6 linked regions of the Canis lupus familiaris genome follow. The protein of the gene in region 1 interacts with the protein of each later gene in a pairwise test. Links are inferred from orthologs where the notes say so. Each region holds a gene or a part of one and is shown in the gene's direction. Other genes may lie near its edges.

Region 1 (4,294 bases):
ACCCACACCCTGTTTTGTGGGGTTTGCCCTATTCTTGCCACCACACCTATGAGTTTCACTTATTAAAATAATGAAGAGGTAGAACGGCTAAAATCTGCTGACCAATGCATAGAGCTATACAGAGTTCTTTAAAGGCTACTGATAGACAAGACCAGTATTTGGAGGATGCCTGATGATGTCACGTAATATTTTTTTCCAACCTGTTCTGCCTGTGTATGCTGGTGTGTGTACTTTTGTTTATATTCAGCTAATCTCTGAGAAGGTTAACTCTCCTATCCTTTATCTCACTTACAAAATGTTGACCTTAAAATCAAAGATAAAATGGGGATAAATTGGGGCAGGGAATCTAAAGTATACATAGCATCCTTAAAAAAGAAAATCCATTTAAGTGTCTAAGAGACAATTCATAAGTTTCAGACAGGTAAAATCAATAATTAAAGTTTTATGCGGAAAATACAGCCTATGCAACAACATGTGTACACAAGAGCATGATAGGTGCATGTGTAAAAAATCTAAAAAAAATAGCAGTCATCCTATCAGCGCCTATTGAAGGGCGCTTACCATGAGCTAAGCTCTTTTCATGTTCATGTAATCTGGGCAATCCCAAGAGGTAAAGACCCTTGCCCCCATTTCACAGATGAGCACACCACCGGCACCCAAAGAAGCCAGTTAGCTGTCCAGCATCCCCCTCGCCTCCACCACCAATGGATGTTGGAGCTGAGCCAGCTGACTCTCCTGGAGGGTATCATGCTGAGTGAAGTAAGTCAATCGGAGAAGGACAAACATTATATGGTCTCATTCATTTGGGGAATATAAAAAATAGTGACAGGGAATAAAGGGGAAAGGAGAAAAAATGAGTGGGAAATATCAGAAAGGGAGGCAGAACATAAAGACTCCTAACTCTGGGAAACGAACTAGGGGTGGTGGAAGGGGAGGAGGGCGGGGGTGCGGGTGACTGGGTGGTGGGCACTGAGGGGGGCACCTGACGGGATGAGCCCTGGGTGTTATTCTGCATGTTGGCAAACTGAACACCAATAAACAGTAAATTAAAAAAAAAAAGAAAGATAAAAAAATCCCACTAGAGTCCCATTTAGGGCAGATCCACTCCACTTTTTAGGTGTGGCTGGTGACCTTGATTTTACCTTCTGAGTCACAACTTCAAGACCCGTCTTGCAGCTAAATCGAGGAAAGTGGGGAAGGGAAGTTGCGAGGCCCGGGGCGGGGGGAGGGCAGCGGGGAGAGACCAGGTTGAAACGAAGACCAGGGGGCGGAGAGACCAGGGGAGCGCGGCGCCGCGGGGGGGACCGCGCCAGGAGGCCAACGCACCTGCGCCCGGACCCGGCGGCCGCGGCTCGCGCACCTGGGCCCACGTGACGGGGCGGGGCGGGGCGGGGCCCCGCGCGGCCACGCCCCCTCCCCGCGGCGCGCCCGGACCCCGCGGACCCGAGCGGCGGCGGCGGCGGCGGGAACCCGGCGGCGGCGGCGGCGGGCGGAGGGAGGGCGGCGGCGGCGGAGACGCAGAGCGGCAGCGGCAGCATGTCGGCCGGCGGAGCGCCAGTCCCGCCGCCCCCGAACCCCGCCGTGTCCTTCCCGGCGCCCCGCATCACCCTGCCCGCCGGCCCGGACATCCTGCGGACCTACTCGGGGGCCTTCGTCTGCCTGGAGATTGTAAGTGGGGCGGCCCGGTGACCGGCGCGCCCGCCGCATCCCTGCCCCCGCCCCCCGCCCCCGCTCCCTTCGCTCCCACGTGGCCCGCACCTGCGCCGCCCCGGGGTCCCGCCCTCCGCGAGCCCCCGCCCGGGCCCACCGCCTGGCACCTGTTACGCGGGCACCTGCGCCCCCGCTGGCCACGGGGACCGCCCCCCGGGAGCGATCGGGCGGCCCGGCGGGGCCCCGGATCGGCACTTCGGGGAGGGGAGGGTGTTGGGCTCGGGGCACGGCCGGAGCCCCCGGCGGCTTGGCTAGAGCTGGAGCAGGCGCCCTCGGCCTCGCCTGTTGCTAACCTGCCATCTTGCTGGGTGGTGCGGAGGTGTAGCCGCCGGTGACCGAGCGACCTGGAGGCCGCCTCGCCTCGCCGAGAAAAGACGCGGGGGGGGGGGGGGGGGGGGCAGGTAGCAGGAAGGGGAGGCGGGCTTAAGACCTAGGCCAACCCCCCCTCCTCCTTTGCCATTATTAGTGCCCTTTGAGTTGGAGAGGGGAGCAGCGTTTAGGAGGCAGAGCAGGGAAAAAGGTCAAGTCTGAACCGTGCCCTTGGCAGGTTCTAATCAAGTGGGCGTGACGGTGGTGGAGGAAAGGTAGAAACGTGGTTGTCCAGTTCCTCGCTGCCTGCCTTTGCACCTTCTGGCTCCCTAGTGGACCTGGGCAGCCCCACGCCTTCTCAGCACACTTCGTTGGGCCCAGGTGACGGTGAGGTTACCTGGCCTAGCCTGCAACCTTATCGGGCCAGAGATTTAAACTCTCTAAAGGCAATTTTATAGACTTGGGAGTTTTTGGACCAGGGGAAATGTGCAAACATAAATTGGGCAACCCAAGGTTGCGTCAGGCCCTGAGAACGGCGGATCCAGAGTGCAACGATAGCAAGTGCCTGCCCTTCCTGCAGGCTGATGTTGTTTGGTCCCGTGTGGAGTTTCCGTCTCTCTTCCCTAACCTGCTCCTTTGAGTTTGCATAACCTGGATTTGGTAGCTTCAGTTTCACTTTTGTGCTCGTGGGGCTGGAACGCCTTGCGAGCATTGGTTTTCTTGCCCTATTATGCTAAGGTGGCTAAGGCGTGCTAGGTTAAGTTTAGCTCAGATTTGAATCTGAAAAAGGAGACAAGTGAGTTACAGGCTACGACATCAGTAATCGGATCGTGACGGCGAGGCTGGAAGAGGCTGCTTTGAGTCTGAGCCCAGTTCAGAAGCATCTGAACGCTTGGGATGAGGTACAGGCATCCATGTGAGAAGAGTAGGGAGAGGATGGCACTGGGCCCGGGCGCTGTTGTGCGTGGGGGAGATGCGCCCAGAACAGTAGGATCTGGGGAGGAAGCTTGTATAAGTTCTGGGCTGCTTTAGTTCCATGTTCCTCTAACTCGGCTTGTTTGCATACCTCTTCTACAAGTTTTTGCCAAATCCACATTCCACCTGTACTAGAATTTACAGAATGTTCACTTCAATTCACTTCTAAACTTTAGTACCCACTTCAAGCCTCATTCTAAGCAATAATACCGTGAATCCTCAAATTTGATACACTGGGTATATTTTTCTAATGTTTACTCAACTACCTATTTATATATTTACTTATATGTATGTGTATATGTAAAGAGATGTAAGGGTACACGTGTGTGTCTATGACACGTATATACGAAGAAGGCTCATCCGTGTGCCGTCAAATCAAATACTGTCTCAGGGACCATCCGTGGTCTTATCACACTTTTGGAAACGCTGCCTAATTCTGAGGGAGAAAGTGGGAGTGCTTCATTCTACTCTGTTTCCTCTCCCCTGCCCCCATATCTCTTTATCTGGCCCAGGAGTTAGTTCTCAACTCTGCTGTACTTAATTACTTGGGCAGCTTTTAAAAATACGGTGACTGGCCCAGACTAATTAAATCAGAATCTCCTGGGGGAGGGGGGGTGCCCAGAGTCAGCCAGTTTCTTCTAAAAGCTCCCTAGAGCTTCTAGTGTACAGTCATGGCTGGGAAGCACCAAGAGCGGCCTTTATCAGGGCTCTGTGGACAAGACAGCCCTCACGCAAATATGAATTTTCTCCCTGTGTGAGAGCTTTCCCCCTTCCCTATTCTAGTAGGGACCCAGGCTCACAGAATTATCCAGCCTTTCCTCTTATTTCTTCATGTCATAGGGCTTCTCACTCCAGAAACATGTCTCAGACCCTTACCTACATAGAATAGCACCACTTCCAAAAGCCATGTTGGTTTACTCTTCATTTTTTTTATGCCAAACATATGTAATAACTTAAAATCTAGGCCTCCCTTACCTCTTTTACTTGGCTATCATCCTTGTTTCTCCTCAGCCCACCCCTTCAAAAATAAAAGAACCAAAATCATCCAATGAAGCTGGTGACCTCAGAGAAACAACAGACCTCATTGGAGCTGAACTATAAGCTCATGCTTGGTTCTTACCCTCCCATACAGCTTAGAGATACTGGATTATACGCCATAAGAGAGCAGAGATCAAGGCTGCCTTGGTACCTCTCTATCTAATACACCCATATGAGCTACGTAAACACATTGGATGTATCTTTGGTCCCAGCTTTTTAAATTTCCCTCCAGCTTTCTGGTTCCTTTAACATGTTCCATCTC
Region 2 (3,500 bases), on another chromosome or scaffold:
CACTAAAGTTATCTTGAGTGTCACACCTTTTACATACTCTGCTGAGAGTCTACAAGTCCTTATTTGGTAGCTCTGCAGACATGCGAAATTAAAAAAAAATTCTTTATAGCCCATACAATTTATTTGAATAATAAAGTACATGTGGGCCTTACCTTGCTTCTGGTCCCTTTTTAGGAGATTAAGTTATAAAAGGCACGTGAAGAATTTGATTTCATTTTTGTCTTGTTTGGCTTTGGTGGAGAAGAAGAAGAGGTATAATTTCTTTCAGCCTCTGGCTCATTTTCATCTTTTCTTCATGATTGTTTGCCCCTCACCCTGATTTCCTTGGTCCTGCCTTTCTAGGCCTCTGCAGAAGATCGTGCCTGAATGAGGGGGTAAGCATCAGGTGAAGTGATGATGCCAACCTGGTGGTTGTGAAGCAGATTGGATGTTCTGAAAACAAAATCATTTTAATTTTCGAGAGCTCTCCAAGAGGTGGTGATTATGCTTTAAATAACTATTAGAAAAGGTTAGCTTAACTTTTCTTTGTTCTGTTCTTTTATAATTTAATGTAGATACAAAAAGACTTCCGAAACCTTATCTCAAGCTGGGCAGAAGGCGTCAGCTGCTTTCTCCTCTGTTGGATCAGTCATCACCAAAAAGCTGGAAGACGTAAAGTATGTCCTCATTTCTCCTTGCTCATTAAGTAGCTGAGGCAAATTAAAGTTATGTTGTGGTTGCATTGGTTTCCTGACTTTGGCTGTGGATGATGCCGGATTCTTTTCAACTGAGGGGAGCCCACTCCTTCAAAACAGGAGAGGGGAAATATTGCCTAAAGTATCTTAGGGGTAGCTTTCTGACTTTCAGACATAGCGTTCAAAATAATCATCTTATGAATACATTTAAAGTTGCTGGAAAATTCTGGTTGTGCACTTCTATCCTTCTAGTCCTTCCTGGTCATGCAGGGTAAGTATATCTCTCGCAGTTGCAAGTTTGTGGTTGGGGGCTGAGCCTGTGATCCTACTGGGGACACGTCCAGGAGCATTGACTGCACGCTGGGGCCAAGACCTGCCTTCAGCTCTGTGTGTTACATTGTGGTTACATCAAACCGTGGTGTGATTACAACATGCCCATCTGTGTACTGACTTGTACTCATTTGTAAGCTCTCTCTACATTCATGCTTAGGCCCAAATCTTGATATTGAGCTTTGCTTTTTATTTTGCATTTATATTTTAGATTAGTCTGCAGAGTTTTTGTGGCAATTTTGATAAAACCACTTCACGGTGCTTCTGTGTGTCTCCCCTGCCCTCCTCCCCTATGTTGATTAGAATAGCGCTGAAAGTGAGAAACATGGTTTAAATTTTCTGTGCTTCTGTTGGCATGAAAGTTATTTTGTTTTACCAACAAAACCCTCAGATTGCATGACTTTGTGTTTTTCATTTGTGGGGAATGTAGCTTTTACAACCAGAATTTTGTTGGTTGAATAAGTTTGGCAATCAAATGTATTATACATTGTACCAAAAAAAAAATGACTTGCTTATTATATTTGGACTATCATCATTCTAAGCATTGTGTAATAAACATAGCTTACTTGGATTCTTCTGACAGTTTATAGACATCTCGTAGGTGTTCTCATTTCTTTTTTTGCCAACTTGACTGTATAGCGCTTTGGAAGTCCAGTTAAAACCTTACACAACTTTTAAACAGGTAATTTCATTGTTTTAGATTTACCAGAACTTCCTTTCTTTTTTAATGCTTACTGCGGCTTCTTGCAGATTGCAAGCCTTTTCACATTCCTTTAGGTAAGGAGAGCTTGAACCATCCCTGCAGCTTAGCCGGTGGTGTCTAAGACAAGTGTGCTTAATTAGATTATTATGCCACGTTGGATGATTGTGTTTGTCCACTACATACTTTTCTTGCATCTGGAATATCTTTCTCTAGTGCATACCTATTTCTAAGGGAGGATTTCTCGTATACCCGGGGTAATGGATAAATTAAAAGAATAATTTGACATTGTGGTTTAGGGATATGGAAATGATTTTGATGTTTCTTACTTTTTTTTTTTTTTTTTTTTTTTTTGGGAAAAAGAAGCAGCTTAACCATGGCATACAGAATTCCTCCCTTTTAATGTCTGACTTTGTTTGTTTTTGATGCTTTAATTTCTTTGGTGCTTTTGTCAGGATGTTGGAATTCTTCACCTGGGTCTCATTATGTATCTGTAATAGACTGCATATGTCCCGCCTCGTGATGTTAGTCTCCCATCTTATACAGGTTACTCTGGATATTTTTTTTTATTGTGGTAAAATATACATAAAGTAAAATATACCATTACTCTGCACTTTTCACTACTTGCTTTGTTAGCGTATAGTTTTTACTATCCTTTAATTTCTCTATACATTATATTCTTTAAGTGTACATGTAAAGAAATTTCATGGTTGCAAAAGAAAAATAATCTCTTAGGCTAAAAAACAAGCACATTAAAAAGATGTCAGTCCAAACCATGCCTTAGAGAAGAAGGAATCTTTGTGATGTTGAACAAACCTCTTCTCTGTCTCCCATACAGACTGTGTATCCAATTAGTTGAGAAAATGAAGTTGGAGCAAGGTCTTTAGAGTATAAGCAGGAAAGACAGCATTGGTAGTCTCCACACCTGTTCCTATGAAGGCAGATTGTCTTCTCAAGCAGTCATTTGTGGTAGTCTGTCTTCTTAAGTAAGGGAATATGTACTTAGAGCTGAGGTCTTTCTGCCCTACTGACACTTGGCCCTGGAAGTCAGAGTAAATCATAGGGATGTGTCAACTCTAAAAGCTGAATTATTTAAAGTTAAACCTGTGCTTTAAAAAAAAAAAAATCACTAATAGGAGGTGATACTGTATCTTTGGTATTCAATTAAAAACGTCCTAAGTGGGATCCCTGGGTGGCGCAGCGGTTTGGCGCCTGCCTTTGGCCCAGGGCGCGATCCTGGACACCCGGGATCGAATCCCACGTCGGGCTCCCGGTGCATGGAGCCTGCTTCTCCCTCTGCCTGTGTCTCTGCCTCTCTCTCTCTCTCTCTGTATGACTATCATAAATAAATAAAAATTAAAAAAAAAAAGTGTATTTAAAAAAAAAAAAAAACGTCCTAAGTGATCTAGGCAACTGTTAATTAAGACCATTTTATCTAAGGTTGTCTGTGAGTTGTGTGTGAACAGGTATTCAGTCTCATAATCCATCCTGCTAACATTAGACTGCACTTTGTGGGCAGGTCCAAAGAATAGAACCATAAAACAGATCTGCTTCTTGTACGGAAAGACCTTAAAAATCTTTGAGTGGATGGAGTGGGGGAAAGAAGCAGGGACTAGGAACAAGTTAAGGTGGAAGAGCCCTGTTAACACTGGATTATATAAAACAGTTTTAGATGTGATATAAACAAAAATGCAAGAATATTTATGTAAGTGCTATAGAGGAATGACTCATTAGTATGTGTCCCTATTCTCTATGTGTTTAAGAAGATTAAGCAAATGTCTTATTAATTGGCCAGG
Region 3 (4,093 bases), on another chromosome or scaffold:
GCCTCTGTCCCGCCCCGTTCGGCTCCGAGCGCAGCACGATTGGCCTGGGACGGGCAGCGGAACCCCGAGGGGACCACCTCCTGACGGCGAGGGCGGGAAAGCGTGCCAGGCGCTGCCCTAGGCGTGAAGCGCGCGGCGCTGCGGGCGGGCACACGGGGGGCTTTGGAGCGACTTGCCCCGTGTCCCGTACGCGACTCCTCGCACCCGGGACTGTGCACAGCAGCGGCCAGGAGCCCGGGCGGGCGCGGGGCAGAGCGCTTGCAGGCCGGGGCGGCTGCTCTGGCGGGCCCAGGACGCACGCAGGCGTGAGGAGACCGCGGCGCGCTCCCGGGCGCTGGGGACCCGAGGCCGGAGAGGCCGGGCCGCGGCTCGGGGGAGGCGCCAGCGGCGGCGGCGGGAGGCGCAGCGGCCAATGAGCGCGCGCGCCGCCCTCGGGGGCGGGGCGTGCGGCGCGCTGCCCGCCCCCCCCCGCCCCCGCCCCTCCCCCCCGGCGCCGGGGCCGCAGTGAGTGAGTGGCACTGGCAGCCTGTCAATCCCTCAGTCGAGCGGCCTCCGAGCCCGGTTCGCGGCGGCGGCTGGCAGGGCGCGCGGCTCCGGCAGCGGCGGCGGCGACTCCTCCCGCCCCACAGTCTGCTGTCCGCCCGGCGCGCGGCCCGCCGGGGCCCTCCACTGGGCTCCGCGCCCCGCTGCGCCGGCCCGCCCGCTCCCAAACTTTCCTCCTCCGCCCCCTTCGCTCCCCTCGGCCCGCCCGCCGGCCTCCTCCTCCTCCTCCTCCTCCTCCGCCGCCGCCGCCGCCGCCGCCTGCCGCCGCCGCTCCCTCCCCCGGGGCCACCGGGGCTCGGATCCCGCCCGGCCGAGGCGGCGGCGGCGGCGGCGGCCGGGGGAGGGGAGTGCGCGGGCTGGGAGGGGGGCGGCGGGCGTCCCGGCAACTCGGCGGGCTCTGAGGAGCAAGTTGCGCGGGGCCGCCCGGCGGGGCGCGCGGCGGCGAGGAGGCGGCGCGGCGGCCGCGTGAGGGCAGCGGGCGCCGCTGCCTCCGCCTCCGCCACCGCCACAGCCACCGCCGCGGAGCCCGGCGCTTCCGCCCGGCGCTTCTCCTCAGCCTCGGCGGCGGCGGAAGCCGGAGCCGGGCGCCCGTCCGCGCCGCCTCAGCCGCGAGCCCCGCCGGCCGGGCCGCCCCCTCCCCGCGCGGGCGGGGAGCGCGCGGCCGCCTCCCCCTCCCCCTCCCCTCCCCCTCCCCCTCTTTCTTCTCCTCCCTCGTCGCCGCCGCCGCCGCCGCCGCCGCCGCCGCCGCCGCCGCCGCCTCAGCCTTCGCCGTAGCCGCCGCCGCCGCCCGCTCCCGCCCGCGCGCGGCGGGATGGACGATCAATCCAGGATGCTGCAGACTCTGGCCGGGGTGAACCTGGCCGGCCACTCGGTGCAGGGGGGCATGGCCCTGCCGCCTCCCCCGCACGGCCACGAAGGGGCGGACGGCGACGGCAGGAAGCAGGACATCGGCGACATCCTCCACCAGATCATGACCATCACCGACCAGAGCTTGGACGAGGCGCAAGCAAAGTTGGTGTCTCATTAAGCATCTTTTGTGTGCGTGCGGGAGCCGGGCCCGCGGCCGAGTCGGGGCCCCGGGGGCGGGGAACTTTCTCCGCAGACCGGCCGCCTGCCTGCCGGGGCCGCCGGGGGCCCTGCCCGCCCCCCCCGACGCGGGCGGGAGTCGGCAAAGTTGGTCCCGGGGCTCGGGACGGACGCGGTGCCCGCGGGTTCCCGGTGGTCCGCCTCCCGCGTCCGGCGCTCCCGCGGCCCGGCCCCCTCCCGCGGACTCCAAGCTCCCGCCCGGCCCCCGCGCGCGCTGCCCCGAGAGGGCCCCGGGCCGCGCTCGCGGGAAGTGCAACTTTCTCCCCCCGCCCGGAGTCGCGGCGCCGGGCGTCCCTCGGCGGCCGGACGGCCTCGCGGTGCGGGCGGCCGCCCCAGCCCGGCGGGCGCGGGGTGCCGGGCGGCTCCCTGGCGCGTCCGGGTGCGGGCGGCCAAGTTCTCGGGGAGGGAGGGCCGCCTCGCAAACTTTGCCGGGCTGTCACCGCCCGCTGGCCGCGCTCGGCCGGCCGCCGCCGCAGCGCCCGCTCCCCCTGCGGAGGGCGGAGGGCGGAGGGCGGACGCGGGAGCCGGTCCGCGCCGTCCCCTCCCTCGGGGCGCAGGGCTCCGCTCGGCTGTCGAGGCGCCCCGCTCGGGTTCGCGCCCTGCGGTCGCCGAGGCGGCCGCCCGCCGGACGGATGGGTCGCGCCTCGAACGGGCTGGAGCTTGAGCCGCCCGAGCTTGCGGGCTTTCGCTAACTAGTCAACTTGAGTTTCTGTTGACTTGCCCTGGTTCCAGGCGAGCCTTCCAAAAGAGAGGGCCGGGATTCAATCTTGGGTCGAACTTAAAGGAAGGCGCCATATTATTCCATAGGTGATGCTAATACCTTTGTATGTTGCGATTTGTCTTTTAGGAAACATGCTCTCAACTGTCACAGAATGAAACCTGCGCTCTTCAGCGTCCTGTGTGAGATCAAAGAGAAAACAGGTAAGAGGCTGCGCCCCGCAGCGGGCCTGGAGACCCCCGAGGTGGGGTCAGAGCTACTCCTTCCACTCTCCAGTTGAGAGCTGCTGCTTTTGGGCACCGCCATCTTTGATCATTCTCTCCTTCCCACCTCCTGGTCTTGAGGAAAAACTGCAATAAATCTGCTGGAGTCGATTTCTCAATTCCGCCCCTGGTATAAAATGAAGTGTAGATGCGGACGGGGCTGGGTCGCTGTCCCCAGGCGGCCGCCCCTGGCTGCAGGCAGGGAGGGGCCCCCCCCCACGAGCCGAGCGCCAGCCGCCTTGCCTTCTCCCGCTCCTTTCGCCTTGTTTGTATGTCAGTTTTTAAAAGGAGCAACGGGAGACTGGATGCCAGGGACCGAGTCCCTGGGAGAAGCATCTCCTAACTTTGTTTTACTTAGACACCCTAAGTAAGCTTCAGCTCCGCAGATAGATGCAATTGAACAGACTCCAGGAGGATGTCTGGATTAGGGTTTTAGTTGGAAAGGCTACTTTTAAGAAGCAGGAAAGGGTAATGATGTGTTTAGGCATACACAATGTATTACACCTATTACTTTCATTAAATTTTATGTTTGAAGTCATTACATTGTAAATACGTTTAATATGTTTTAGAAAGTAGAAAAAGGTTCACAGCAGGTTACACAATTTTTGAAGTGTTCAGTGCAGGGAACATATGAGAAAGACAGGTTTGACAGAAGTGCTGGAATAAAAACTACAAAAACATGAGTCTCTGACAGTTCATTTCAATTGAATTTTCTTGTTAGGCTTTTTAAAATTAAAGGTATTTTAGTTTTGAGGTGATAACTCAAGTGGAATCAGAAATTTAATTTAGGTGCTTTAGTTCGGATTTGGCGTTATCTGCCCTGTATTATGGCAAACAAGTGCATTAAACAAGCTTTACTGTTGATTTGTCTGGGGTGCGTGCTTGTGTGTGTGTGTGTGTGTGTGTGTGTGTGGTAGCTATATGGTATTATAAAGTTGCTGTTTTTTAAGTTGAGGCAGAGAAGAGAAAGTTAAAATCCAGGATATAGCAATATCCAAGTGATGCTTTTAAAAGATTAAATGTCATTGTATTTAAATCAAGTGTACAAATGATAGTACACTGAATATACTTGTTAGTTGGTAGGAGTATTGCCATCCCTTTAAGTAGATTTTTCACACTCAGTGCTATTCTAATTCTAAAAGTAATCAAGAGAAGATGATGGGTTATTGCTATCTATTAAAATGTATACTGAAACCATAATTAATAGAAAATATTGAGATCTTTAAAGAACAGTTTTCTTGCTTCTCATTCACATAGCATTCATGGTTTGTAAATGCTGAGTGATTCTTTTTAAGATAACATTTTACATTTTGAAAACTACAGGCATTTTAAATTACTAACTTTGTGTTGATTTTTAGCCACCTTTAGGAAGCATTGTGATTTAAAATGGTAGATAATTTTTGTCTGACTATAAAATGAGACATCAAACATTAAATCTTGAAGATTCTTAGTTTAGAAGCCTAAAAGTGTACAATTCTCAGTA
Region 4 (4,000 bases), on another chromosome or scaffold:
GAGGGTCGACCCGCTGCTGCTCCCCTGCGGGACTGAGCGCGGCTCCCGCTGAGGGCCGCAGGTGCGGGCGCCCGGGCGGCGGTCGGCGGTCCTCGGGGGCGAAGGGGGTGCGGCCTGCGGGCGCGGTGCCGCGGAACACCAGCCGCCTCCCCCGACCCCTGCGGCCCTCCCCCCCGCGGCCCTCCCCCCCAGACCCCCCCGCAGCCCTCCCTCCTCCCCTCCGCCCTCCTCCCGCGGGGTTACCCCCCCACCCCCGCAGCAGCCCTCCCTCTTCCCTGCGGCCCTCCCTCCTCCCCTCTTCCCCCTCCCCCAGACTTCTCCCCCACCGCCCCTCAGCCCTCCCTCTTCCCTGAGGCCCTCCCCTTGCCGCCCCCCCACCCCGTCCTTCTTCCCCTGCGGCCCTTCCCCCACCGCCTACCCCCCCACGGCCCTCCTTCCTCCCGCACCCCCCCCCCGCAGCCCTCCCTCTTCCCCGCGGCCCTCCCCCCTGCGGCCCCCCTCTTCCCTGCGGCCCTTCCCCCCCAGATCCCCCCGCAGCCCTCCATCCTCCACGCAGCCATCCCCCCTCCCCCCTACTCCCCCTGGGCCCTCCCCCCCGCAGCCCTCCCTCCTCCCTCCTCCGTCCCCCCGCCCCGCCCGGCCTCCCCCTCCCGGCGGGTCCGCCCCCGCCCCGCCCCGCCCCGCCCCGCCCTCCGCGCCGCCGCCCGTTTGTGAATGAGAAGCCGCTTTCTGAATGGAGCCGCGGGGCGTCGGGCGGGCGCTGCGGCGCGGGCGCTGAGCCCGGAGGGGGCGCCCAGTGCGCGGCGGGGGCGGGGCGGGGCGGGGCGGGGCGGGGGGCAGGGCCGCGGCCCCGGCTCGGGCGGGCGGCTGTGGGCTGTGGGGAGCTCCCGCCGGACCCCCGACCGCCCGGGGCGCTGCGGGCCGGCACCTCGGGGCGCGGGGCGGGCGCGTCCCTGCGGGAGGGGAGGGGCGCGGGGGGAGGGGCGGAAGCCGGGATTTCCGCCGAGCGGGCGGCCGCGGCCCTTCCTCCGGGAGCAGACGCGGCGTTGGCGGCCGCCCGGCCTCTCCGCCCGGCCTCTCCGCCCGGCCTCTCCGCCCGGCCTCTCCGCCCGGCCTCTCCGCCCCGCCATGCGCCGGCCGGGCCCGGGCTGCTGAGACGCGGAAGCGGCGGCCGCGGACCCCCGCCCCGCCCCGGCCCCGGCTCCGGCCCCCGCTCCCCGCTCCCCGCTCCCCGCTCCCCGCTCCCCGCTCCCGGCGGGATGGAGCCCGCGACCGCGCCCCGGCCCGACATGGCGCCGCAGCTGACCCCGGAGGAGGAGCAGGTAAGCGGCGGCCGGGGGGGCGACCCCGGCCCAGGACCCCCGCCCCCGCCCCCGCGCCCCTGCCCCGGCCGCGGCCCGCACGCCCCTCCCCCTCCCCTGCCCCCTGCCCACCCGCGGGCCGCACACGCCCCCCATCCTGCCCCTGCCCACCCCCCGCACCCCTACCCCTGCCCCCGCGGGCCGCCCCCGCCCCCCCCCGGTGGCATCCAAGTCCCCGGCCCCCCCCCCGCCCCCGGGGATGCTCGGCTCCTTGCCCCGACGGTCCGCGGCTCGGGCTCGGCGGGCACGGCCGGGGGGCGGGGGGGCTGCGGCAGCGTCTCGGCTCCCGGTGAGCCCGGAGGGTCGCCCCGCAGCCCCGCGGCCCCGCGGCCCATTGTCCCGAGAGCCCCGGCCCCGCAGTTCCCAGGAGGCGGCGGCTCGCGGCGCCCCGGGGCCGGGTCAGGGGGAGCCCGGGGCCCCGGCCGCCCTTCCCGCGCCCGCTCGCCGACCTCGGGGGCCCGGCGCTGCCTAGACCCGGCCTCGGGGAGGCTGCAAGGCCACGGCCGGATCTCACGTCGTTAAGAAAAAGAAACACACCCTGAACTAAGGAAAAGATGAACCGCACGGGCGCCCCGCGCCGGCCCAAGCTCCCGGGCCTGTCCCCAGGGACGCTCGCGGCCTCCGCGGTGCGCGGCGGGTTCCCCAGCCTCGTCCTAGTCGGTGGGCGCCGAGGCCCTCATGTCCAGAAGGTGCTTGACTCCTCTCCTCGTCCGGGGAGATGACATCTTCCGCATGTGGCCTCGGACCGCCGCCTTGCCTTGCCTTCTCACGCCTTGAGATAAAATCGGCATCGGGAGGGGAAAGAATAAAAGAATTCTGCTCCGTGCGAGCCGTGGTTACATCCTGGTAACTGCAGTTGAGATTCATAAAATGCTCGTCAGGGCCTAGCGCAGGCAGGTGGCCAAGGGGCCCGTCCACCCACAATTAGGGAAATAAATGCTTCGGCACTAAGGTATGATGCGTTAGGTTGATCTGATTTTATTTTATTTTATTTTACTTTATTTTATTTTATTTTACTTTATTTTATTTTATTTATTTTATTTTATTTATTTTATTTTATTTTACTTTATTTTATTTTACTTTATTTTATTTTATTTTACTTTATTTTATTTATTTTATTTTATTTTACTTTATTTTATTTTACTTTATTTTATTTTGCTTTATTTTATTTTATTTTATTTATTTTATTATTTTATTTTTTAATTTTTTTAAAATTTTTATTTATTTGTGATAGTCACAGAGAGAGAGAATGAGGCAGAGACACAGGCAGAGGGAGAAGCAGGCTCCATGCACCAGGAGCCTGACGTGGGATTCGATCCCGGGTCTCCAGGATCGTGCCCTGGGCCAAAGGCAGGCGCCAAACCGCTGCGCCACCCAGGGATCCCTATTTTATTTTATTTTATTTTATTTTACTTTATTTTATTTTACTTTATTTTATTTTGCTTTATTCTATTTTGCTTTATTTTATTTTGCTTTATTTTATTTACTTTATCTTATTTTATTCTACTTTATTTTATTTTATTTTACTTTATTTTATTTATTTTATTTTACTTTATTTTATTAATTTTTATTTTATTTTACTTTATTTTATTTTATTTTACTTTATTTTATTTTATTCTACTTTATTTTATTTTATTTTACTTTATTTTATTTTATTTTATTTTACTTTATTTTATTTTACTTTATTTTACTTTATTTTATTTTATTTTACTTTATTTTATTTTACTTTATTTTGCTTTATTTTATTTTACTTTATTTTATTTTATTTTATTCTACTTTATTTTATTTTATTCTACTTTATTTTAATTTTTTTTCATTAGGCTGACCTTAAAGAGGCAAAACGCATTCACTTCTTTTCATTGGATTAGTCAGATTTAGAGTTTCTATGTTTCTAATACTTCAAGGCATTAGTATTCCACTGCGACAATGGCACTAGGGTACCTATTAAAAAATTAAGACCAAGGAAAGTAGATATTTAAGTATTGTTAAAGTCAGTGCTTTAGTCTGCACAGAGTATATACATATACGGGTGTGTTTAGAAAAAAATCTTTTACAGTGAACAATGTGATGGGCATTAACAAGAACTGGATGGGAACAGTTAAATATTTATTTTTTTAAAGATTTTATTCATTTATTCATGAGACAGAGAGACAGAGAGAGAGACCAGCAGAGACACAGGCAGAGGGAGAAGCAGGCTCTATGCAGGGAGCCCAATGCAGGACTCGATCCCAGGACCCCGGTATCAGGCCTGGGCCAAAGGTAGACACTCAACCACTGAGCCACCCAGGGATCTCTTTTCTTAAATTTCATTTATTTAAAAGAATATTTTATTTATTTATTCATGAGAGACACACAGAGAGAGGCAGAGACACAGGCAGAGGGAGAAGCAGGCTCCCTGCAGGGAACCTGATGCTTTTAAATATTTATTAAGATCAACAAGGATAGGGACTCCTGGGTGGAGCCCAGGATCCAGTCTCACATCAGGCTTCCCTTGGGGAACCTGCTTCTCCCCCTGTATGTCTCTTGCTCTCTCTCTGGGTCTCTCAAGAATAAATAAATTAAATCTCTTTTTAAAAAAAAAGATCAACAAGGAATGTGGGTTTTTAAAAATCATATCGTTTCCTACAAAATGCCAAGTT
Region 5 (4,140 bases), on another chromosome or scaffold:
CCGGGAGCCCGACGTGGGATTCGATCCTGGGTCTCCAGAATCGCGCCCCGGGCCAAAGGCAGGCGCCAAACCGCTGCGCCACCCAGGGATCCCATTTTTTTTTTAAACATTTTTTTAAATTTTTATTTATTTATGATAGTCACAGAGAGAGAGAGAGAGAGAGGCAGAGACATAGGCAGAGGGAGAAGCAGGCTCCATGCACCAGGAGCCCGATGTGGGATTCGATCCTGGGTCTCCAGAATCGAACTTCCAGTTAATTCAATAACAATTGATATAAAAAACAAAAATCAATTAACATGTGTAAAACTGAGAGAATTTCCTGAAAGAGGTGACATTCCCAACAGATTTCTCTTTTATGCACAAAGGATGGGGGGCGGGGGGGGGGAGATTGGGGGAAAATGTGCCAGAAAAGAACAACCTTAGCAAAGGCCCACAGGAAACAGGGATCATGGGTTATAGAAGAGGAAGAGAGCTGAAGTCAGAAGAGTTGATGGAGCCAAAATCTGTAAGCTTTGTAGGCCATGCTACGAAGTTGAGAGTGTATTGTGAAGATAGTAGACTAATGTGGTATACATTTTGTTATAGAGCATCCTTTTTTTTTTTTTTTTTTTTTTTTTAAGAATGTACTCATTTATTCATGAGAAACACACAGAGAGAGGCAGAGACTCAGACAGAGGGAGAAGCAGGGTTCTCACGGGGAGCCCGACATGGGACTTGATCCCTGCACCCGGGATCACGCCCTGAGCCGAATGCAGATGCCCAACCGCTGAGCCGCTCAGGCGTCCCTCTGAGTATTTTTAAGGGGGATAATTGGAGGGGGAACCTGCAGGTGGGCATACCAGCGAGGAGACTGGGTGCGATAGTCTGGCCTGGGCAGGGAGGCCAGGGGGATAGAAAAGCAATAAAGGGACACCCTGATGTCGTACTAGGGCAACTAAATGGATGAGCACGTGGCAGGGCTGAAGGCGGTGCGTGTGGAAGGGACTAAATGCACAGAGAATTGGGTCGGCTGAGATTAGCGAACGACGTCTGATTTACAGACCCAGCCTCCCAACCTCTCCAGGATTTAAGCGCCTTTCCTAAAACGCTAGGACTACCTCCGGGCCGCCAGGAGGCGCTGTAGCCTCCAGGGTCTCTCTAGGCTCGTTCCCGTCGGCTCGCTGTCGGAGGCGGCCTCAACGGGGGGGGAGGGGAGAGGGCAAGACGTGCGCGTGCGCTCTCCGGCCGGCAGGGGGCGCGCGTGCGCGGTCGGGGCCGGGGGCGCGCGCAGGCCGGCACCGGAAGTGTGCGGTTGCCATGTAATATCCTGGCCGCGCGGGCGCGCGAGGGGCCTGAGGCGGCGCCGGGGCGGGCGCGGAGCTGGCGAGAGCGCGGTGGAGGCAGCGCCGACGGGGCCCGCTGAGGCGCGCGGGGTATCGGCGGCGCCCGGGAGCCTGTCGCTTGCGCGGTCCCTCCGGTTCGCTGGGTCCGGGCGGGAGCCCCTACGGCGGGAGGCAGCATGTCGGTGGCGGGGCTGAAGAAGCAGTTCTACAAGGCGAGCCAGGTGAGCGGCGGCCGAGGCGGGGGAGCTGGCGCCGCGCCCCCAGGCTGTGCGGAGTCGGGGACCCGGCCAGGCCCGACGGGGCTCGTGAGGGGGCCGCCGGCTCCGGAGGCGCGGCGTTGGCGCGCGGCGTCCGCTGAGGGGGTCTCCCACCCGCGAGGGACGGGGGCTGCCGACGAGGCGGCTCACGGGCCCGCCCGCCATGTGGGCTCGGGTCTCCCCGGGAGGGTGGGCAGACCCCGGGGAGGGGCGGCGGCGCCCCGGGACGCGGACCCGGGACGCGGACCCGGACGCCGTCGCCTTCCCTCGCGGAGACGGGCCCGGAGCGGGCGAGGAAGACACTGCCCTGAGGCTGTCGACACAGGACTCCTGCCAGAGAGCCCGGGGGCAGGGAAACTTGGCGTCCGCAGTCGTTCTCCAAAACAAACAAACGAAAACCCCTTTTGATGGACCCGCTACAAAGTTGGGAAAGGGTGGAGGGGAAAGCCCCGCTTCCGCCTCCAGTCCCCCGGGGCATCCAGCCCCTCTCCCCAGGGGCAAGGACCGGCATCTTTTCCGAAGATCGGTTACACCTTTCCTAGAAAAACGCACACGCACACGCACACGGTGGTACCGTGGCCTGTGTAGCCCTTTGTACTTCGGCTTTTTCGGTTTTCCGTTCCATGTGTTCGGAGATAATGCTAGAGCTGGAATTCTCCGCCTCAGACCGCGCTGTCCTGGGCACTGTGGGGGCGATGAGGGGCATCCCTGGCCCCACCCGCTTGATGCCAGGAGCACCCCCCCCCCCCAATCCTGACACCACACATACCTCCCCCTGCTACCAAACGTCCCCTTCTGCCCCCACCCCAGAGCCACTGCCCTGGAGCATACCCCTAGAGTCTCTTTGATCTTCTTTTCTTTTTTAAGATTTTATTTATTTATTCATGAGAGACACACACAGAGAGAGAGAGAGACACAGGCAGAGGGAGAAGCAGGCTCCATGCGGGGAGCCCGATGTGGGACTTGATCCCAGGACTCGCAATCACACCCTGAGCTGAAGGCTCGCCAAACCGCTGATCCCCCCATCCCCTCTCTTTGATCTTCTTAATGGGTGTTGATATTCCAGTCATCTTTGGGGGATTGGTTAAATTTTGACCAGTCATCTGTTGATGTATGTGTGGATCGTTTCCTGTCAGTTTGTGCTACACACAATGAATAGCCAGTGAATATCTTTGCTCAGAGGTGGGATTGGGTTTATAGGATAAATTCCCAGAAGGAGAATGCTGAATCCGAGAGTATGTATGTTTTTAGACGTGACAAGTAAGTATAGGGTGGTTTTTTGTTGTTTTTTGTTTTGTTTTTTTGGAATGTCCCGGCCCCATTGCTCAAGAATCTGGTGAAAGCTGTGGATCCACTCTCCAGAAAGCTGGAGCAAGTGGGAGATTCAGTTTATAGTTTCAGATCCACGAAGCCCCAGATTTCTTGAATCCTCTTGATCCCCGCATCCCAGATTAAGAACCGTAGGTGGGCACTTTGTGTGGATAGAATCCGTGAAGGAATGAGCGACCATCTTAGGGATTGTGTGGGCCCTGCTGGCAAACTGGGCTTTTCCCACAATTTGGAAAAGTTCAGTAGGAGAGAAGAGAAATAAGTCGACAGTAACTCAGCTGGAACCTTTTGCCCCTTGATGGAAAAAGTCATGACCCCACGCTAGTGTTTATCTAGGGCAAACCCCAGATGATGGCTAACCCCTAGAGGAAGAAACACTTAATCCGGGGGGGTTCTGGCATTATTGCTGAGAGTACAGCCCTTTGTCCCAGCAGGGTAGAATTAAGTGACCTGGCCCTGGGTTGGACCCTGCCCAACAGGCATCAGACCACCAGGGCTTGACCAGAGCAACTGGGGATGGTGCTTGCTGTCTTGGACCTTGATGTAGTCCCTCCTGCAGGAGAAGCCCCCTCCTCCCAACCCCTAGCTCTCAAGGCCCATGCTGGAGGGCCATACTGTCCCAAGCAGGCACACTCTGCTAGAGGAACTGGCTAGGCTGCTCAGACTGGCCACCAGAGCTTTTTCTTGAGGGGGCAGTGGTAGGGGGTGCCCTGCATTCAAATCTGTGAGGGAATGGAAAACACTGTGTAGTATAAGCTGCTGGTTCTGATCAATTTGTGATCTCGCCATTCTGAGGCCCATCTCAAAGAATTGCTGCGATGGCCACATCCTACTCTGGGAGCGGCTGTTTTGGACTCTTGATAAATCCTCTGCTGAGTTGTGCTCTCAAGAATCATGCTGGCTGTGCTCCACTCTCTTCTGCAATAGTTTCCACAGGCCCCCAGCATCTCTGTTGTTTATCCAAACGTGTCCATCTCTTTGTGTGATTCTTTTCTTATCCTCAGTACACCCATTTTCATCCTTTTGTCCTCAGAGTAGGGTTGGCTGTTGAAAAGTATAAGGCAGTAGTTAACGTCTGTTGAACTCTCACCTTGTGGACAGGCAGTATGCTTTTAGCCACTGGTCTCATTTATCTGCCATAAGGATAAACATACTATTCTTTTTACACAAAATGATGTGGGGACATTTAGTATATGTGCTGCCGAAGCGAGCACAATGTGGGGACATTTATA
Region 6 (4,251 bases), on another chromosome or scaffold:
TGTGTGATCCGAGAGAGGCGGATGGGTGGCCAAGATCACTGGGTGGGCCTCCACAAACTCCTGTCTCCAGAAGCACTGTTGTTGAGCGTCTTGACCAAGTAAATTCTTTCAGGTCATCAAATTTTCCTGCTCCCTACAGTAGGACTCTATCTAGGGACTTCAGCGCTGCCTCCTTTGGGGTGACAGGCGAGAGCAACTGGGCCAGACCAGAGTGAGCCCGAGGAAGACAAGGCTAGGCCAGTCCTCCCTCCCCCTTCCTGCTCAGACAATGAAGGGTGAACTGAGGAGAGCAGGAGCCCTGAGGCACCGAGCGGGACCCTGGGGCCCCAGAACATCTTTGCCTGGAAACCATCACTCCCTCCCCCGCCCCTATGAGCCCCTCCAAGGAAACCCCGGGGCTCTGAAAACTGGACGAGGCTCCAGGGCCCCTGAGCTGCTGGTTCGTTCCGACCGCCCTGGGCTTTTCCCGCCGGGCTCCCAGGCGCCAGGCAGGTGGGGCGCGAGCGGCAGCGGCGGAGGGGGCTCCCGTCGGGAACCTAAACAAAGACCGGGACGGAGGCCCCCCCCCCGCGGGGGTCCTACGCCGCGCGGCCGGGGGCAGGGGGGCGGGCGGGGGCCAGCGGCGGGGCGCCTCCCCGGACGCCCGCGGAAGGAGGGGGGCTGCGGCTCCGCCCGGGGACTCCGCGGGGCTCGGGCGCTCCCGCCGCCCCAGGAGGAGGAAGCCGGGGCCGGGGCCGGGGCCGGGGGGGCCGGGGCGGCCTGGGGCGCGGGGTCCCCGCTGCCTGCCGAGCGCCCACGCCCGCCACACCCACGTGGGCACGCCCCCGCGGCGCACCGCCCCCAGCCCGGCTCCGCCCCCCCCCCGCGGCCGCGGCGGCCCGCACCCGAGCCTGCACCCGCGTCTGCACCCGCACCCGAGCCCGCACCCGCGCCCGCACCCGCGCCCGCACCCGCACCCGCCGCGCCCAGGCCCGGCTCCCCGCCTGCGCGTCGCTCTTCCTCGCATCACCCTCGGTGAGTCGGCGGCGCCCTCGGCCCGTCTCCCCGCCTCCCGCCCCCTTTCCCCCCGCGGGGGCTGCGGCCACCCCCCCCCACACCCCGGCAGACCTGAGACTCGCGAGCCACGCGCCCCCTCGCGCGGGCCACATTTTGCTTACGAGGGTGGCACCCCCTCCCTCCTTTCCAGACGGACTCGGGGACCCCCGTGTGTCGCGCTGGGGGAGGCGCGGGTGGCAGGGCCTCTTTGTTAGCGCGACGCCCCCCCCCCCCCGCTCGCCCTCCGCCGCCGACGGGAGTGACCCCGCATCCACCCCGCGGCCCCCTCCGCCTCCCGGAGTTCACCCCGACCAGGTGGCGGCGCGCGCCTTTTAGGGGTGCGCGGTCGTGCAATTGTTGGATTTTTTTTTAACTCGTTTCGGAGGGGGGAGCGCGGCGAGGGGGGCGGCGAGAGCGCTCCAGGCTCCCGGCAGCTCCGCCCGCCTCGCTCCCGGCTCCGCAGCTGCTTCCCTCCTCGCCTCCCGACTCCTCTCCGGCCGGGCCGAGCGCGCTCCCCGCCGCGGCGCAGGGATGAAGGTGCTGGGACACAGGATCGAACTGCTGACAGGTACCGCCCGCCCGGCCCGGGGCGCGGCCCTCGCCTCCCGCGGCGTCCCGAGTTGGAGCGGGAGCCCGGCGCGCTGCTCGGGGTTCGGGGCTGCTCGGGTCGAACCAGAGGAAAGGGTGCGGACGCCCGCTGGTGCGAGCCCGGCGCCGGGAGGAGACGTGGGGCTGCGCCCGCCTGGCTCTGCTCCAGTCCGCTCAGAGTCCCCCAGCAGCCCGAGCCCTCCACCCAGTGTGGCCCTGCCGGCACAGGAGCCCGGCCATAGGCCTCTTATTTCCTGCTCCCTGTGACAACTGAGCGCCTCTCCCTTGCAGAAGTTTATTCCTGGGAGTAGAGGCCAAGTGGTGTGGGAAGTGGGAAACCAGATGGGACCCTCAGCCTTGGGATCCCTCTGGAGAAGCAGTGGGACACCCCTGCTGGAGACCGCATCCAGGTTGCTGTGGCTGGAGATCTACAGAGGATGCTTGAGTATGCCCAGAAGTGGAGGCAGGAAACAGAGCAGGGATGGGGGACCTGGCATCTGAAAGGTGGGAAAGCTCCCCCAGCCCTGAGGTCCCAGAGAGGTTCATGAGGAAGGGGCTAGAAAGGGAAACCCCCTGGAGCACCATCATTCCCCACCCACAACCCCACGGCAGGTGGAGGTGCTCAGTGTGCACTGTGTGGATATGTGGAGTCCCGTGCATGTCCTCTGGCACCTGGAAGGCTTTGGTTTCTGACCCCCAGGACCTTAACTGTCTGGTGTGTGAGAACAGAGCACAAGAACCCTGTTACAGGGAAGGGGACAGCATGGTGGGGGTAGACTCAGGAAACAGATTGAAGTCTGAGGGCACTGGAGGGGAGCAGAGAGATTTGAGCATGTAGCAATGTTAGAAGTGGATCCTAAGGAACGCTAGGATTTCCTAAGAGAGGATTTCTATTACTGGAGAGAGAGGTGGCATTCCAGGCTGGGGGCGGGGGGACCCGCTTACACAAGGGCCCTGGGAGTGATGCAAGGGCTGGAGGAATGAGGTCTGCTGAGGTTTTGGTCTGTGAGAGAGCTAACTCACCTGCAGCTCATGAAAGACTCACGGACAAGGGATGGGGGGCTGCTGTGAAGCGGGGGGAAAATCTGGCCAGGTGCTCAGCAGTGCCGCACCTGAGCCCAAGAGCAGCGGGGCTGACCTGCCCTCCAGTCCCTTGCCAGCTTTTCCTTGTAGAGCTCGCTTGAGGCAGGCCAGCCTGAGGCAGGCCAGCCGGCAGGACACTGCACTTGCCAGTGCCCTTGAGGGAAAAGTTTTTACAACCGCTCGGGTGTTTAGAGCCCTACATGGAAGGCAGAACTTCTGGATCCTCCCCTTCTCTTCTTTGGTCCCAGAAGGGCCTGGAGGAAGAATGCTCTTGGGAGGCGGGTCTGGACGCTCCAGTGGGGGCCCAGCTTTACCCTCCTACCTCGTGCAGTGTGATGTGCCTTTGTCTCCTGAGTACAGGGGTCAAGGCCTCTCCTCCCTCATCAGACAGACTTGCCCAATGCTGACAGACTCTCTGACCCCCAGTAGGCTGGAACCTGGAACGGGAGCCCCTTGGGCACTGTCTCCCACCCCCTTGCACTCCTCACCAGGCCCCGGGATTCAGTGTGTCCCTTCAGTCTCTGCCTCGTGCGTGGTCTTTGCAGCCATACTTCCAACTCATTCCTGTCCTACGGACCGGGGTTCAAATCCCCATCCCACTGTTGGCCAGTTGTGTGACTTCAGAAAGCTTGCTTAAGCTCTCAGGCTTCAGTTTTCTTGTCCTAGAGGTGGAACTGTCGACCCCTCCCTCTGAGAGTTGGCCTGAGGCTTACGGAGGTCGCACGGGTGAGGGGCCTGGCCCCGGTGGGCACCTCTGGGCTTCACCTTCCTGGTTCCTTGGTCTTGGCTGGTCCTATAATGGAGAACCTCCCCCCTCCTCTGGCTGGTTGGCCACTAGGAGGTTTGGATCTGTCCCTCTCCCCTGCCCATTGTTCCTGCTCACCTGCACCTGTGAGACGTTGACCCATTTCTCCTGCCCGAAGATTGTGGCGGCACACAGCAACCGCTCCATTATCGTCCACTCGGTCCAGGCTCACATCTCCCACCCATCGCATGTGTCTCCAGGATACCTTCTTAGAGGCCTGTGACTCCCCCCGCCCCATGGCAGCAGTAGGGAGTTGTTTCATTAAACCTGTTTGCTGAATCTGTTTCTCCAGCTGTTCTAGTTCTCGCATTCTCCCCTCTGTTACCACGCCCCCTACCCCGTGAGATCACTTCTTCCTACAGCTGGAGAGAGGTGGAGCCCAGCTTCAGCCCTGAGCCCTGAGTCATCTCGTGTGCAGACTGCCTGGCTTCTGGCCAGCCTTGGAGCTGCTTTGCATTTCTTTTTCCCATCTGTAAAATGGGATCGTCGTGGTACCCACCTGGTTGTGTTTTCTTCCGCAGTTAGCCGTGAGAGCGTGAACGCTGAGTACAGTGTCCGGCTCGTGCTCAGCAAATGGCAGCAGCTGTGGGGCTGATGTCCATGACCCGCTCCTCAGTGTCCTGGGGTCTCTTCTTCCAGGAGGTTTACTTCCTTTTCTGGCTTCTCCACACAATCCAGATCTCCCTGAGATGTGCCTCTGGGGGACTCTGCTGAGACCTCAGCTTCCCATCCTCTCGGAC

What was found.
Region 2: the proteins of MAL2 (region 1) and TPD52 interact in a two-hybrid assay, tested with the Homo sapiens proteins (2 studies listed by BioGRID and IntAct). The link is inferred for Canis lupus familiaris from reciprocal best matches to the Homo sapiens genes MAL2 and TPD52.
Region 3: the proteins of MAL2 (region 1) and PBX3 interact in a two-hybrid assay, tested with the Homo sapiens proteins (2 studies listed by BioGRID). The two-hybrid records come from large-scale screens. The link is inferred for Canis lupus familiaris from reciprocal best matches to the Homo sapiens genes MAL2 and PBX3.
Region 4: the proteins of MAL2 (region 1) and PTPN9 interact in binary tests that used the Homo sapiens proteins (3 or more experiments, as listed by UniProt). The two-hybrid records come from large-scale screens. The link is inferred for Canis lupus familiaris from reciprocal best matches to the Homo sapiens genes MAL2 and PTPN9.
Region 5: the proteins of MAL2 (region 1) and SH3GL1 interact in binary tests that used the Homo sapiens proteins (3 or more experiments, as listed by UniProt). The two-hybrid records come from large-scale screens. The link is inferred for Canis lupus familiaris from reciprocal best matches to the Homo sapiens genes MAL2 and SH3GL1.
Region 6: the proteins of MAL2 (region 1) and NDRG4 interact in binary tests that used the Homo sapiens proteins (3 or more experiments, as listed by UniProt). The two-hybrid records come from large-scale screens. The link is inferred for Canis lupus familiaris from reciprocal best matches to the Homo sapiens genes MAL2 and NDRG4.

The regions. Positions count from the first base shown.
Region 1 is NC_049234.1:18,780,767-18,785,060, forward strand, and holds the start of MAL2 (protein MAL2), read left to right. Parts: upstream 1-1,494; 5' UTR 1,495-1,536; coding exon 1,537-1,668; intron 1,669-4,294. UniProt on the Homo sapiens protein: Member of the machinery of polarized transport. Required for the indirect transcytotic route at the step of the egress of the transcytosing cargo from perinuclear endosomes in order for it to travel to the apical surface via a raft-dependent pathway.
Region 2 is NC_049250.1:27,999,506-28,003,005, reverse strand, and holds part of TPD52 (tumor protein D52), read left to right. Parts: intron 1-554; coding exon 555-656; intron 657-1,754; coding exon 1,755-1,781; intron 1,782-3,500.
Region 3 is NC_049230.1:57,499,533-57,503,625, reverse strand, and holds the start of PBX3 (pre-B-cell leukemia transcription factor 3), read left to right. Parts: upstream 1-1,293; 5' UTR 1,294-1,354; coding exon 1,355-1,554; intron 1,555-1,854; exon of another isoform or gene 1,855-1,946; intron 1,947-2,476; coding exon 2,477-2,550; intron 2,551-4,093. UniProt on the Homo sapiens protein: Transcriptional activator that binds the sequence 5'-ATCAATCAA-3'.
Region 4 is NC_049251.1:38,823,878-38,827,877, reverse strand, and holds the start of PTPN9 (tyrosine-protein phosphatase non-receptor type 9), read left to right. Parts: upstream 1-1,200; 5' UTR 1,201-1,259; coding exon 1,260-1,322; intron 1,323-4,000. UniProt on the Homo sapiens protein: Protein-tyrosine phosphatase that could participate in the transfer of hydrophobic ligands or in functions of the Golgi apparatus.
Region 5 is NC_049241.1:55,677,540-55,681,679, forward strand, and holds the start of SH3GL1 (endophilin-A2), read left to right. Parts: upstream 1-1,340; 5' UTR 1,341-1,498; coding exon 1,499-1,543; intron 1,544-4,140. UniProt on the Homo sapiens protein: Implicated in endocytosis. May recruit other proteins to membranes with high curvature.
Region 6 is NC_049223.1:57,451,226-57,455,476, reverse strand, and holds the start of NDRG4 (protein NDRG4), read left to right. Parts: upstream 1-1,451; 5' UTR 1,452-1,566; coding exon 1,567-1,603; intron 1,604-4,251. UniProt on the Homo sapiens protein: Contributes to the maintenance of intracerebral BDNF levels within the normal range, which is necessary for the preservation of spatial learning and the resistance to neuronal cell death caused by ischemic stress.